Linked DNA regions of Pelodiscus sinensis. The protein of the gene in region 1 purifies or fractionates together with the protein of each later gene. This does not show direct contact. Links are inferred from orthologs where the notes say so. Each region holds a gene or a part of one and is shown on either strand. Other genes may lie near its edges.

Region 1 (7,646 bases):
AGGTAACTAGTGGTGTCCCTCAAGGGTCTGTACTGGGACCAATCCTATTCAACTTATTTATAAATGATCTAGAGAAAGGGGTAAACAGGGAGGTGGCAACATTTGCAGATGATACCGAACGGCTCAAGATAGTAAAGACCAAAGCAGACAGTGAAGAGCTTCGAAAAAAATCTCACCAAACCAAGTGATTTGGCAACAAAATGGCAAATGAAATGTAATGTTGAAAAATGTAAAGCAATGCACATTGGAAAACATAATCCCAACTACACGTACAATATGATGGGGACTAATTTAGCTACAACTACTCAAGAGATTTTGGAGTCATTGTGGGAATTTCTCTGAAAACATCCACTCAGTGTGCAGCGGCAGTCAAAAAAGCAAACAATGTTAGGAATAATTTAAAAAGGGACAGAGAAGAAGACAGAGAATATCTTATTGCCTCTCTATAAAACCAGGGTACATTCTCATTTTGAACACTGTGTACAGATGTGGTCGGCCCGTCTCAAAAAGGCATTGGAAAAGTTTCAGAAAAGGGCAACAAAGATGATGAGGGGTTCGGAATGGATCACATATGAAGAGAGATTAAAAAGACTGGGACTTTTCATCTTAGAAAAGAGGAAACTAGGGGAGGGGGATATGGTAGAGGTCTATAAAATCACGAGTGGTGTGGAGAAAGTGAATAAGGAAAAGTTATTTACTTGTTCCCACAATATAAGAACTAGGGGTCACCAAATGGAATTAATAGGCAGCAGGTTTAAAACAAACAAAAGGAAGTTTTTCTTCACTCAGAGCACAGTCAGCTTGTGGAACTCCTCGCCAGAGGATGCGGCGAAGGCTAGAACTTTAACAGGGTTCAAAAAAGAGCAAGATAGATTCATGGAGGTTGGGTCCATCAATGGCTATTAGCCAGGATGGGTAGGAATGGTGTCCCCAGCCTCTGTTCATGTGGAAATGGATGACAGGAGAGGGATCACATGATGATTCCCTGTTATGTTCCCTCCCTCTGGACATCTGGCATTGGCACTTGTCCGTAGACAGGACACTGGGCTAGATGGACCTTTGGTCTGACCCAGTCTGGCTGTTCTGTGAAGTTGGGATGCGTATCTCAGCTACAACACTACATTAGCTACAAGATACCAGAGTATGCAGCAGACAAACAGAAATTGGTAGAGAGCAGCCACACCTGCACAAGCTGTCTATTCCTCACACAAAGTCAATCTTCTGGATGACATTTTTCTCCCCACACTTGTCAACATTAACAATAGAAATTTAGGATTTCCCTTAAGACCTTAGATACAATACTGTAGTTTACAGACTGAGTTTCTGAAAAGAACATGAAACATTTAACTTACAGAAAATGCAAACTTTTGTGCTTGTTCATTCTGTTAAATTAAATACCAAGGAACGAGGAGGCATCCTTTCTTTGAACTCCAAGAAACATGTTGGCTGCCACAGAATTTCCTTTGAAAGGCTCTACTTCACTACTTCCGGACACTGTCACTTTTCATATAAAAGCCACAACTCTCATTCGCATGGAAGCCCTTGTTCATGAAGAGAACACAAAATATGGGATTTATCTCACCTGCTTCATAGGTTACAAAGCAAAGAGACCACTCTGATCTCCTATATAACACAACAGAGAAGTTCCCAAAGTAATGCCCAAAGCAGAAATTTAGGAAAAACAGCCAATCTTGATGTAAAAATTAGCCAGGATGGAGACTCCACCAAGACCCTTGGTAATGTGTTTCAATGGTTCATTAAACTCAGACCATGCCTACACGATTACTTTTGTTGGTATACCTTATGTTGCCTCGGGTGTAAAAAACCAGACTCGTGAACTACATAAGTTACACAGACAGGAACACCACGCCCAACACAGCTACCACACCTCATAGAAGTGTTTTTTTATGTTAATAGGAAAGCTCTCTTCTGCCACCATAGTGCAGCCACATAATGGATATTACAGAGACACAGGAGGGATATTACGGACACACACCTGCCCCACTTTAAGTTGGCTATTGCAGACATGGCCTCCCTGTTAATCATTTCCCATGTAGGTTTTTACAGATGGTGATCAAGTCACTCTTTCAACTTCTTTGTTAAGCAAAAAGACCGAGCTTCTTGAGTCTGTTACTATAGGGAATGTTTTCTAATCCATTGATCGCTCTCACAGCTCCTCTCTGATCGCTCTCCAATTTAACAACATCCTTCTTGAATTGAGGACACCTCAACTGGACACAGTAGTACAGCTGCAGTCGCACCAATGCTATACCCAGAAGAAAAACAACCTCTTTACTCCTACTACTGTTTAGGAGATACAGCTGTACAAAGGTTTGTCTACCCATGCAAGAGATACCAATTTAACTACCCACTGCTACAGCGTGCACCTAGTTATGCTGGCGCTTATAGTAACTCCCATGAAGAAGGGGAATAACACACACCAGTATAAGGCATCTCGACACTGGTAGGACACCAGCACTTGGAGTTGTATGGAAATAGCCATGATTACAAAGCTCCTCCGTGGAACCATACTGACTGGTTTAAAAAGGGTTTCGACAGGATCAAGCTCCAGCGATTACTCGCCGCCTGTGGGGCTCCCAGACCCGCCTGCAAGGGGCCGGTCTAAGCCAGGGGCCCGCACCGGCAGGAGCGGCTGCAACCCCATTTCCAAGCGGGCTCGCCCGGCGCTCGGCCTGACAGCGGGGTCCCCCTCCCGGGCTGTCCCGCGCGCCCTGCGGCGAGGAGTTCCGCGGGTGCGCCGCACTCACCGGGCTCCAGCAGATGAGCGGGTCGGTGTCGGGGTCCTCCACCAGGGTCCACAGCTTGGTGAGGAAGGCGGGCACGTTGCTGCCGCCCGCCCCCGCCGCCGCGCCCGGGCCCTCCATGCTCGCTAGCGCCGCCGCCCCCCGCCCTGGGGCCCGGCCGCGGCCTGCGCACGGCGCCCCGCGGAGCCCAGCATGGCCGCCGCCATCTTGGGACGCCTCCCGACCAAGCCCCCTTCCGAGCCAGCGGCGCGCATGCGCCGGCTTCCCTCGCCTCCCCCCCGCCCGCGACAGGCCCAGCGCGCCGCGCATGCGCGGTTTATGCTTTCGCGCGCGTCCGGCCGCCGGCCGTGGAGCTCTGCGCCTGCGCTCGCTGCCCGGCTGGACTGCCGCGCATGCGCCCGGCGCGCAGCACCTTGGGCGTTCCGAACGAGGTAGCAAGCGCGTGCGCCAATGGCTCCAATAACCTTTGACCCCTGACCCCAGTCCGGCTGGGCCCGGAACGTCTTTCTCAGCCGCGCGCCGCGGTGCGGCCTGGCCCGGGAGAGCGCTGCCTGGGGGGCGGGGCGCCGTGACCTCTGACCTCTCGCACGTGGTGTGAGGAGCAGCAGCGGCGCGGCGCGCGGGACTCGTGGAGCCGCCATGGAGCGGGCGGGGGGGGCGCGCTGCGGCCTGGTGGGTGACGTGGGGCCCCGCGGGGGGGGGCTCTGGGCCCCAGGGCTGGGGGAGGCTGTGAGGGGGGGCTCTGGGCCCCAGGGCTGGGGGAGGCTGTGAGGGGGGGCTCTGGGCCCCAGGGCTGGGGGGGGCCGTGAGGGGGGCTCTGGGCCCCAGGGCTGGGGGGGGCCGTGAGGGGGGGGCTCTGGGCCCCAGGGCTGGGGGGGGGCCGTGAGGGGGGGGCTCTGGGCCCCAGGGCTGGGGGGGGGCCGTGAGGGGGGGGCTCTGGGCCCCAGGGCTGGGGGGGGGCCGTGAGGGGGGGGCTCTGGGCCCCAGGGCTGGGGGGGGCCGTGAGGGGGGGCTCTGGGCCCCAGGGCTGGGGGGGGCCGTGAGGGGGGGGCTCTGGGCCCCAGGGCTGGGGGGGGCCGTGAGGGGGGGGCTCTGGGCCCCAGGGCTGGGGGGGGCCGTGAGGGGGGGGCTCTGGGCCCCAGGGCTGGGGGGGGGCCGTGAGGGGGGGGCTCTGGGCCCCAGGGCTGGGGGGGGGCCGTGAGGGGGGGGCTCTGGGCCCCAGGGCTGGGGGGGGCCGTGAGGGGGGGGCTCTGGGCCCCAGGGCTGGGGGGGGGCCGTGAGGGGGGGGCTCTGGGCCCCAGGGCTGGGGGGGCCGTGAGGGGGGGCTCTGGGCCCCAGGGCTGGGGGGGCCGTGAGGGGGGGGCTCTGGGCCCCAGGGCTGGGGGGGGCCGTGAGGGGGGGGCTCTGGGCCCCAGGGCTGGGGGGGCGGCGAGGGGGGGGCTCTGGGCCCCAGGGCTGGGGGGGGCCGTGAGGGGGGCTCTGGGCCCCAGGGCTGGGGGGCCGGCGAGGGGGGGCTCTGGGCCCCAGGGCTGGGGGGCCGGCGAGGGGGGGCTCTGGGCCCCAGGGCTGGGGGGGTGGTGAGGTCAGGCTGTGAGCGGGGCGCTAGGCACAGTAGGCTGGAGTCAGCGGGGGTCCGATGCCTTCTGCTCCCAAGCACGCCCAGCATGTGCTTGGTCACACACCCACCCGCCAGCCCCTCCAGTCCTTGTCCCACAGAGCTCCATGCTTGGCCAGTAGATCAAAAAACAAACAAACAAACAAGCACGTGGGGGGACCTCCTTTGAGCAAAGGGGGGAAGTCAGGGCTCTTCCTGCCTGAGCCTCTCAGCCACTTTCCTTGCAAGAGGTGAGGGTGCTCCCATAGTGGGAGGGTGGGTGGGGAGAGATTCCCAGACTCCTAGCTGGACCCATGGATACCAAGGCTGACTTACCTTTTGGGTTGAGACTTCTATGGTCTAGCCATGTGTGGTGTGTGCCAACTTCCTTTTTTTGATGGAAAGGAGTGGAGGGAGTATTTTCTGGTGTATGTACACACAGAACAAGCAGAGTCAGTCTTGCTTGTAGCTTTCCTGAGAGCTGTTTCTCTTCGCTAGTGCTAAGAGAGTTGTGGTGTGGTGGCGCTGTGAGCGCATGCGGAGTGTTTGGGATGCACTGCTGATAGTGTCTGTTGCTTTTCCCCATTCATTCGTAGAATCAGCAGCACACCTGTCTGGAAACAGATTTTTACCCTGTTCTAAGACCGACTTGCTCACAATTCCCATATTACACAATCCAGCCCTGCCTGAACTCCCTTTCCTGCCTGCCCTAACACACGGCTCTTTACCGCTGACCCCATGTGGCATGGGGCCAGGTATGAAAGAAGTTAGGTTAGAACATAAGAACGGCCGTACTGGGTCAGGCCAAAGGTCCATCTAGCCCAGTAGCCTGTCTACTGACAGTGGCCCGCACCAGGTGCCCCAGAGAGGGTGGACCAAAGACAATGATCAAGCGATTTGTCTCCTGCCATCCCTCTCCAGCCTCTGACAAACAGAGGCCAAGGACACCATTTTATCCCCTGGCTAATAGCCTTTTATGGACCTAACCTCCATGAAATTGTCTAGCTTCTCTTTAAATTCTCTGTAAACAGGTTGTACCCCCTGAATGTTCCAAGCATACCTTCACCTTTCTGCAGCAGTGCAAGAGGGCCCTAGCTGCACAAGGGGGTGATGGGCTTAGGCCATGAAAGGCTTTATCTGAGGTGGGATGTGCCGGTGAAAGCATGCCTTAGGACAGGGGTGGGAACCTTTTGTGAGTCGGGGGCAGCACGCCAGTATAAAGCAAAAAACAAAAAAGCCCTCACTGACATGGCCCCTGACTGAGGAGAAAGACTCTCCCCACATTCCCCTCACACACTAGAGCCTCGGGGAGCCCGGTAGATTTTGTGTGCTCCAGCCCTGTGCGGGGGGAGGAGGCTGGTGTTCCAGCACAGGTTCCCCAAAGCTGAAGGGAGCCCTGAGCATTGGGGGCTGGATCCAAGCAAGCCTCAAGTTCCTCACCCCTGCCTTAGAATCCTAGAACTGGAAGGGACCTCAAGAGGTCCTCAAGTCCAGTCCCCTGACCTCACAGCAGGACCAAGCACCATCTAGATCATCCCTGACAGGTGTTTGTCCAGTGATGGAGATTGCACAACCTCCCTAGGCAATTTATTCCAGGATTTAATCACCCGGACAGGTAGGAAGTTTTTCCTAATGTCCTCCTTGTAACACCCTTTTAGATACTTGGAGGAGACACTTCTGATGGGGAGGGAGGTCCACAGGAGATCCAGCTGTAGGGTTCATGCCACACGTAAGCCACTCCTGGGCCACAAATAAGCACTGAAAGATTCCGCATAGAGGGGAGTAATGGAAAGGTTAGATTCCAGGAGCCAGAGCTGGGATTGGAGGGCCGTTCAGTGGCAAAGCTGTGCTGTTATTAGGAGGAAGAAAATGAATACATTGGGAGGAAGAGAGAGTCTCATGCACACACTAGGGAGATGTGGCCTTGGTTAAACTACTCTAGGCTGGGTGCACACATGGTTGAAGGATTGCGCTCAAAGTGTAGTTGTCAGTGGTTGGACATCAAAGTGAGGGAATGGATTTGGGGGATCCTGCAGGGCTCAGTCCTGGGTGTGCTTTAGGATACTCTGTAGGCACTTTGGAGAACAGGATGAGAATTCAGAGTAACCTTGACAAATTGGAGAATTGATCTTACAGCCACAGGATGAGAATTCAACAAAGGCAAGTGCCCAGTACTACACTTAGGAAGGAAAAATCAAATGCACAGCTGCAAAATGGAGTACCTGGCTAGGCAGTAGTACTGCTGGAAAGGATCTGAGGCTTATGGAAGGTCGTGTACTGAGTAGGAGTCGTCATTAGGGATGTTAAAAAGCGGTTAACTAGGTAACCGTTTAACCGCTGAAAAATCTTAGTGGTTATGCACTGCAGGCTGCTGTGGGGCCACTGGCTGCTGGCCCCCCTCCTAGCTTCTACCCCTCTCCCAGGGAACTGGCTGCTGCCTGATGCCATGGGCTCTGATACAGAGCCAGCAGCACAGGGTGGCAGCCAGCTCCCCAGCAGCGGGGACAGGAGCTGGTCTGTTGCCATTATGGTAACCAGGAATCTCATGCTTCCTGGTTAGCTGTGTAAACGGCTATACTGTTCCATCCCTAGTGTTCTTGTGGAGCACGTGTGAAAGGCTGAGCTTGCTCTGGGGTGTATTAACAGAGCCTCTGCATGCGAGACTCCGAAGGGAACAGTCCCATGCTGGAGCGCTGGGTCCAGCTTTGGGCACACGCTTTAGGAAAGATGCGGAAAACCGGGAGGGAGTCTTTACTAGACTTGCTGGTGGCACGATTGCTGCAGTGTCCATCCACCCCTAGTGGAGACAAGCCCTTAGGTCAGTACGATGGGTTTGCGCATCATGTACGTGAACAAGACGTGCACGAAGACGGGGGCACTCGTTCAGCAGGTGGCAACGGTCAGAATGATACGCCCTGTGATGCAGTTTGCCCCGAGCACCTTTGCCTCAGCGTATTCAAAAGCAAGTTCTCAAGCTGGAGCTGTGACCAGGCTGGCCGGGGGAGACCGGCCGCGAGGGGTTCTGTGCTGTGATGCCTGTGCTCTCCTTTCAGTCCTCCGCTCTCCGCGCTGAAGCCATGGAGGAGCATGACCAGGGAAGCGATGGCCTGACAGACAGCGAAGAGAGCATCTACTCGGGGCTGGAGGATTCGGGGAGCGACAGCAGCTCAGAGGAGGAGGCGGCGGAGGACCAGGACAGTGGAGCAGAGGGGGAATTGAAAGGCGGTTCGCGCTCCACGGCAGCACAAGTAAGTGTGAAATGTCAGGCCATGGCTGTAGGATGCTGG
Region 2 (7,112 bases), on another chromosome or scaffold:
CAGACAAGGTCCCTCACCTTTGTGCTCCGGATTGTCCAAGAGCAAGTTCTGCAGCAGGAAGGCGGATTTCACCTTGAGCTTCTGCACGGGGCTCTGCATGGCTCGCATGAGCACTGAGAAGCCGTCCAGGCGCAGGAACTGCTGTAGGCCCCCCTCCTGGGCGCGCACCAGGCCTGACGCCGAGGAGAAGGGCAGAAAGAGCCTCACCCAGAGCAACATGCATGCTCCTCCCCGCGCTGCAACACCGCTCCCAGCCTCCAGGGGCAGAGGCGAGCAAGGCTCCACCCTGGCCCCTCTGCTACCACAGGGCCAATGCTCTCTATGGCTGTGGCGCTGGCGCCCCCTGGAGGGGAAAGGGCCCCATTCTCACCCCTTTCTGGGGGGCATCCCCTAGAAGGGGCAGGCCCAGCACCCCACACCTCCCCCGCCCCCGGACCAGATGAGAGCCAAAGCCCCGTAGAGTGGCCAGGCCCCGGGCTCCATCCCCACCCCAGACTGGCCAGGAGCCGGCGCCCCTGCAGGACTCACAGGAGATGGCGAAGAGCGCTTTGACGCGCACCAGGTCGGCCCCGTCGTGGTCCAGAAGCCGCAGCAGCTTGCGCATGCAGCCCAGCGCCAGCGCCTGCTCCTGCACCTTGGGCACATTCTGGGCGCAGGTGCCTACCAGGTGGGCCGCACGCCAGCGCAGGTCCGGGACAGGGTGCTCCAGGTAGCGATGAGCCAGCAGCCGCATTCCATCCAGCTTGCAGAAATCTGGGAGGGGGAAGAGGGGGCGTGACGGCAGGTGTCACGGAGTCCCCCCCACCCAAGGGAGGGTCCTTCTGCTGCCCCACATCTCCCTCCCCAGCACACACAGACTCTGGTGTCATATAGGGTTCTCAGGCAGTGCTGGCGGGGCACCCCTTATGCCAGGCCCACCTTATTGGGGTCACCCTCACCTAGCTCTGCCCCCATCTTCGGAGGTTTGGGTCCCTTCCAGAGACACCCTGATATGAGGGGACCCCATCTCAGAGACCAGCCTGCCTTGGGGACAGGCCCCCCAGAACCTCCAATTGCCTTCCCCCCAAAGCCACAGCAATCCTCCCCCTTCTCAGGCCACAGGCACCCCCCCCATTCCAGCTCCCTCCAGTCCTGCCCCGAGTGCCCCTCTCCTGCTCCAAGTACCCCCCAGAATCTGCCCTGCTCTGAGAACCCCCCCGCCCCCGTACCTGCGGCGTTGTCCAGGTTCTCACACAGCTCAGCCAGCAGCTCCAGCGCACTGGCCTGGCGCGAGGGGTCGCCCTCAGCTGGCTCCGAGGACTCGCCACCGTCCCCGCCCGGGGACATGGCCTCCAGCACCCGCAGACATTCCTTCATCTGCTCCACCTCCTCCAGCTGCCCCCTGAACGCCTGAGCCATGGCCTCCTGCAACCACTGCCGCCGCTGGGAGCGGGCAGAGAGGGGGTCAGCGCCCGGCCCCAACCCAAACCTCCCGAAGCCAGAGGCAGAACCCAGGAAGTCTGGCTCCAGCCCCTGCTACTCTAACCACCAGGCCTCACTGCGCTCCCACAGCCGGGGAGAAACCCAGAAACCCCCGTCCTCTGCTCTAACCACTAGCCCCCACCCCGCTCCCAGAAGCAGGAGAGGAGTCAGGGGTCCTGGCGGCCACACAGCACAGCCGGGCACCTCGTCAGACATGGGCTCCAACTGGCTGGGCTCGTTGCCGGCGGTGATGGCCATCTGCAGCAGCCCCTGCAGGTTCCGCGGGTGCTCGCGTGGCGGCTGGTTCCCCCCGGCGCCCCCTTCGGCCATGGCTGGGGCGGTGCAGGGCCAGAGACCAGGCCCCCTGCAGAGAAAGGCGCAGACAACAGGAGTCAGCAGCGGAGCTGGGGAGAGAACCCAGAAGAGGCCAGCAGCCTCCCCTCCAGCCTACTCACTAGACCCCACTCCCCTCCCAGAGCCAAAGGGAGCCCTGGCGCCCGGCTGTAACCCCAAAGCTGCGCCTTCCTCACCTAGGTCTGGGCGTCCTGGCGTTATCAGATGCGGTGTCCGCGCACGGGGGGAGGGGCGGGGGTATCACCGATCTCCGGCTCCCACCGCTGACACCAAGAGAGGGGTCGCTGGGCGGAGGCAAAGAACCTAGATCAGCAGGCGGGGGGGGGGGGGGGGTCAGCCAGGCTGAGAGTCACAGGGTATGGAGGGTGGCGGGGGATGGTGCTCTCAGCTTCCCTCCCATCCCCCATTCAACAGCTCCCAAAGCAGACACACCCCCCTTCCTGGGGCGTAGGGGGTCACTCGCGGCTCTCCCCCAGCCACCCCTCCTCCCACTGCCCCCCAACACCCCGCCCCACCCCCCTCCAGTCACTGCCCCTCCCCCCACTGCTCTCTGCCCCTCCCCCCACTGCTCTCTGCCCCCGACACCCCTCCATTCACTGCCCCTCCCCCACTGCCCTCTGCCCCAACACCCCGCCCCATCCCCCTCCATTCACTGCCCCTCCCCCACTGCCTCTGCCCCCAACACCCCGCCCCATCCCCCTCCATTCACTGCCCCTCCCCCACTGCCCTCTGCCCCAACACCCCGCCCCATCCCCCTCCAGTCACTGCCCCTCCCCCCACTGCCTCTGCCCCCGACACCCCGCCCCCTCCCCCTCCATTCACTGCCCCTCCCCCACTGCCCTCTGCCCCAACACCCCGCCCCATCCCCCTCCATTCACTGCCCCTCCCCCACTGCCCTCTGCCCCAACACCCCGCCCCATCCCCCTCCAGTCACTGCCCCTCCCCCCACTGCCTCTGCCCCCGACACCCCGCCCCCTCCCCCTCCATTCACTGCCCCTCCCCCACTGCCCTCTGCCCCAACACCCCGCCCCATCCCCCTCCAGTCACTGCCCCTCCCCCCACTGCCTCTGCCCCCGACACCCCGCCCCCTCCCCCTCCATTCACTGCCCCTCCCCCACTGCCTCTGCCCCCGACACCCCGCCCCTCCCCCTCCAGTCACTGCCCCTCCCCCACTGCCTCTGCCCCCGACACCCCGCCCCTCCCCCGCTCTCACCCCCTACCGCGCCCCGCGCTCCCACTCCCAGCCCTGGGCGCCGCCATCTTGGCCGGACGTGACGTTTCAGCCAAAAAGGGGGCGGGGCAGCGAGGGTGGGACGCGGGCGGGGCGACCCCTGCTGGCGGGAGCGGAGAGCTGGGCGGGAGGGGGCGGGGCCTGGGGGCTGGGGGCGGGGCGCTGGGGGGGGGGCTGCGGGGCCCCTCTGGGGGTGTGGGAAGGACATTTCTGTCCTAAGTCGCTACGCCCTGGGCCTGCCTCGGTTTCCCCCGACTCCGCGTGGCTGCCTGGGGATGGGGGAGGGTCACAGCGGCGGGGGGAGCTGGAGCCCTGGGGGGCCGGGGCCACCTGGGGCGCAGTGAATGGGACACAAAAGGCCCCAGAACAACTGGAGGCTCCGGAGGGACAAGGGGGCAACCCAGGGACAATTCACCCCCAAGCGGGGGCTCTCCGCTCTGCAGGGGGCAAGGGGCCAGGGCAAGACCTGGCCAGTGGGGAGACAGGAGGGCGGACAGAGACGCCGGGATGGGGCCTGTGACCCCCAGGATGTCATGAGCTCCCCCAGGCATCTGGCTCGGCCGGCCCCACTGAGCAGAGCAGGGGGGCAGATGCCCAGGGCTCAGGCTTGGAGGCGGGCAGGCTGCAGGGCCCGGCCCCGATGGGAGAGGGTGGGGTCTGGCGCACCAGTTTTCAAGGGGCTGTTTAAAAGCCAATGCACAGCCCTGGTCCTGGTCAGGGAGATGGTGGGGGCGGGATTGGGCAGGGGAGAACTGGGAGGGCTGGTTTGGTGGAGGGATGGGGACGGGGGTACAGGGCAGGGAGAACGGATAGGCTGTGGGAGGGTGAATGGGGGGATGCAGTGGGGTTGGATTGGGCAGCAGGGGGCTGGGGTTGCGGGGGGGGGGGATATTTGGCAGGGGATCCAGGGGAGGTTTGCTGGGGGGAGGGTTCAGGCGGCTGTGGGGGACCTAGGGGGAGGAGCAAGGCAGCGACTCATCCCCCACCCCCCACAGTGGAACAAAGCCACCTGCTAAGGCAATTTCAGCCTGAGGTTTGAAAGCCGCTCCTCCCCCCCCCCACTTTCCAAACTCCAGCTGGGTCCCTCCCCTCCCCGGCACCTCCCAGAGCCAGCACTGGCCCCAGCCTGGTGTTGGAAACAATCGGGGTCATGACGCCGATCCCCAGTGCCAGCCTGACGTGGCACAGAGGTTAGGAAGTGAGGGGCCTGGAGCTGGAGAAAGATGGAGGCCAAGGAGGTCCGGGTTTGGGGGGGCCAGGATGGCTCCTGGATCTTGGCTCCCAGGGGTAAAGGGAAAGTTTGTGGCCGGCGCGGCTGGGCTGGAAGGAATCGGGGGCCGAGGTGGAACCGAAGCTGCCTGTGTCTGACAAGAGCCTGAGCCGGCCGGTCCTGGGGGGGGGGGAGGGTGAACGGCCCGGAGTGTCACAGACACAGATCGAGGGGGGAGACTTGGAGTTTGTGGCTCAGCGCTGGAGCCAAGCTCTGAGGATTCGAGATCGGGAAGAGCCAGCAGGGAGGGGGGCAGGTCCTCCCCCTCCATGAGGGACCAGCCAGGATGCCGGGCTTGATGGGCCCGGCCTCATATGGCCTCTGCCACTAACGGCCAAGCGGGCAGAGCCACGGAGGGGTGGAGGTTCTCCGAGGGAGAATCCAGGGGTCCCCAGGGCACCCCCGCAGCTGAATGGCCTCGCCCCAGATGTGCTGGGAGGGGAGCACATGCCGACTCACACTAAGGGAGTCCTAGAGCGCCCAGATGAGAGCCGGAGCACCCCCTCCCCCATCTATCCCTCCATCCCCACACAGCCCCCCTGTCTCCCCATGCACCCTCCATCTATCCCTCCATCTCCCCCACACCCCTCCCCCTCCCTGTCTCCCCATGCACCCCATCTATCCCTACACAGCCCCCTGTCTCCCCATGTACCCCCATCTATCCCTCCATCCCCACACAGCCCCCCGTCTCCCCATGCACCCTCCATCTATCCCTCCATCTCCCCCAAACCCCTCCCCCTCCCTGTCTCCCCATGCACCCCATCTATCCCTACACAGCCCCCTGTCTCCCCATGTACCCCCATCTATCCCTCATCCCTACACAGCTCCCCGTCTCCCCCCGTACCCCCCCATCTACCCCTTCATTCCCACCCCCCCGTCTCCCCACGCACTCCCATTTATCCCTCCATCCCCACACCTCTCCCCCTCCCTGTCTCCCCACACACCCCCATCTATCCCTCCATCCCCCCACACCCTCCCCCCTCCCTTTCTCCCCACACACCCCATCTATCCCTCCATCCCCCCCACACCCTCCTGCACCCTCCATCTATCCCTCCATCCCCATACAGCCCTCCCCCTCCCTGTCTCCCCATGCACCCCCCATCTAACCCTCCATCCCCACATATCTCACCCTCCCGTCTCCCCATGCACTCCTCCCCAGCTATCTACTTCTTATCTTCTCCCCCTGCCCCGAATCTCCCACACAACCAGAGTTGGCTGTCAGAGCGAGCGGGCCCAGGGGGGTGGGGAATGGGGCCCAGGGCCTTTCCCCTCCAGGGGGCGCTGGCTCCAATCTGCCCCCGGGGTGACCATTGACTGGTTGGCTAGGGTGATGCTGCCTGAATGGGGCTTTGACTCCCCCCCTCAGCCACAGAGGGTCTCATGGGGCGGGTGGGGGATGGGTGGCTGAGAGGTGGGGTTGGGGCAGGGGATGGGGGATGCGGGGGCTATGCTGGGCAGCGCCCAGTGTTGTTCCATATCTGGGGCGGGGTCAGACACATGGACACACACTGTGTGTGTGACTGTCTCTGAGCCGCAGGTCTCACACACACACTGCCACACACACAATCACACCCAGGCAATCAGTCACAGTCCCCTGTGCTCGAATCCGCCCCTCCCCCACAGGTCTCAGGCGCATACACAGTGGCACACACAGAATCACAATACACATGCACAATGGCACACGCGCGCGACAATCACAGCCTCGATTTCACAATTAGCAAGCCATACGAACACAGACTCCGTGAACCGCAACTCAGTCGTTACAACCCCACAGTTACACAACCGCACGTACACAGCCACAATTACCCACACAACAATCACACTCACACAATTTCCAGCCACAGAATCACAGAAACCATCACACATTACCATTACACACTACAATCACAACCACAATCACACAATCGCAATTGCACAACTATCGAGCTATACAATCACACACACAATTACACACACACACCACAACCACACAATGACAGCCATGATCACTGCATTATAGTTATACAATCACAGAGCGAATTACACTTACCATAGTCACAATAATTCACATTCACACAAGTAGTCACATGATCACAGGCTCAATCACCCAGTTACAGCCATACAATCATACAACCATCACACAATCCCAAACGTATACATCTGACAATCAGTCCTAGCCACAACACACTAGTACAGCCATACAATCACAGCCATACACCTACAACAATCACACAATTACAGCCACATGCCCACAACAATCAGGCAATCACAGAACACTCACAGTCACACACACTCCAATTACACAATCTCAGCCATACATACAACAACAATCATACAATCACAGTCACACAACAATCACAGCCACATGCACACAACAATCATGCAATCACAGAGCACTCAGTCACATGCACACAACAATTGCACAATCATAGCCATGCACACAATAATCACACGATCACACTCACGCAGCAATCACACCACCATACTCACACAACAGTCACACTTTCACACAAAAATCACAGCCACACTCACACAACAATCACACACTTTCACACAACAATCATGCAACCACAGTCTCACAATCACAGCCACACACACACAATCACATTTTCATACGACAGTCTCACAACCACAGCCGCATGCACACAACAATCACACACGTTCACATGACAATCACAGCCGCACGCACACAAGCACACATGTTCACACAACAAACATACAACCACACAACAAGCACACACATTCATACGACAATCACAGCCGCACGCACAGAACAAGCACACACGTTCACACAGCAATCATACAACCACGCAGCAC

The links.
Region 2: the proteins of HSF1 (region 1) and HSPBP1 purify together in Homo sapiens (affinity purification with mass spectrometry; 5 studies listed by BioGRID and IntAct, counting the BioPlex papers as one, with this or other methods). This does not show direct contact. The link is inferred for Pelodiscus sinensis from reciprocal best matches to the Homo sapiens genes HSF1 and HSPBP1.

Annotation. Positions count from the first base shown.
Region 1 is NW_027465930.1:120,225-127,870, reverse strand, and holds the start of HSF1 (heat shock factor protein 1), read right to left. Parts: upstream 3,009-7,646; 5' UTR 2,886-3,008; coding exon 2,769-2,885; intron 1-2,768. Other genes in the region: ribosome biogenesis protein BOP1, read left to right, coding at 3,158-3,196, 7,413-7,607. UniProt on the Homo sapiens protein: Functions as a stress-inducible and DNA-binding transcription factor that plays a central role in the transcriptional activation of the heat shock response (HSR), leading to the expression of a large class of molecular chaperones, heat shock proteins (HSPs), that protect cells from cellular insult damage.
Region 2 is NW_027465977.1:226,301-233,412, forward strand, and holds the start of HSPBP1 (hsp70-binding protein 1), read right to left. Parts: upstream 3,091-7,112; 5' UTR 3,076-3,090; coding exon 3,036-3,075; coding exon of another isoform or gene 3,029-3,035; intron 2,119-3,028; coding exon 1,992-2,118; intron 1,826-1,991; coding exon 1,666-1,825; intron 1,423-1,665; coding exon 1,209-1,422; intron 754-1,208; coding exon 529-753; intron 174-528; coding exon 18-173; intron 1-17. UniProt on the Homo sapiens protein: Inhibits HSPA1A chaperone activity by changing the conformation of the ATP-binding domain of HSPA1A and interfering with ATP binding. Interferes with ubiquitination mediated by STUB1 and inhibits chaperone-assisted degradation of immature CFTR.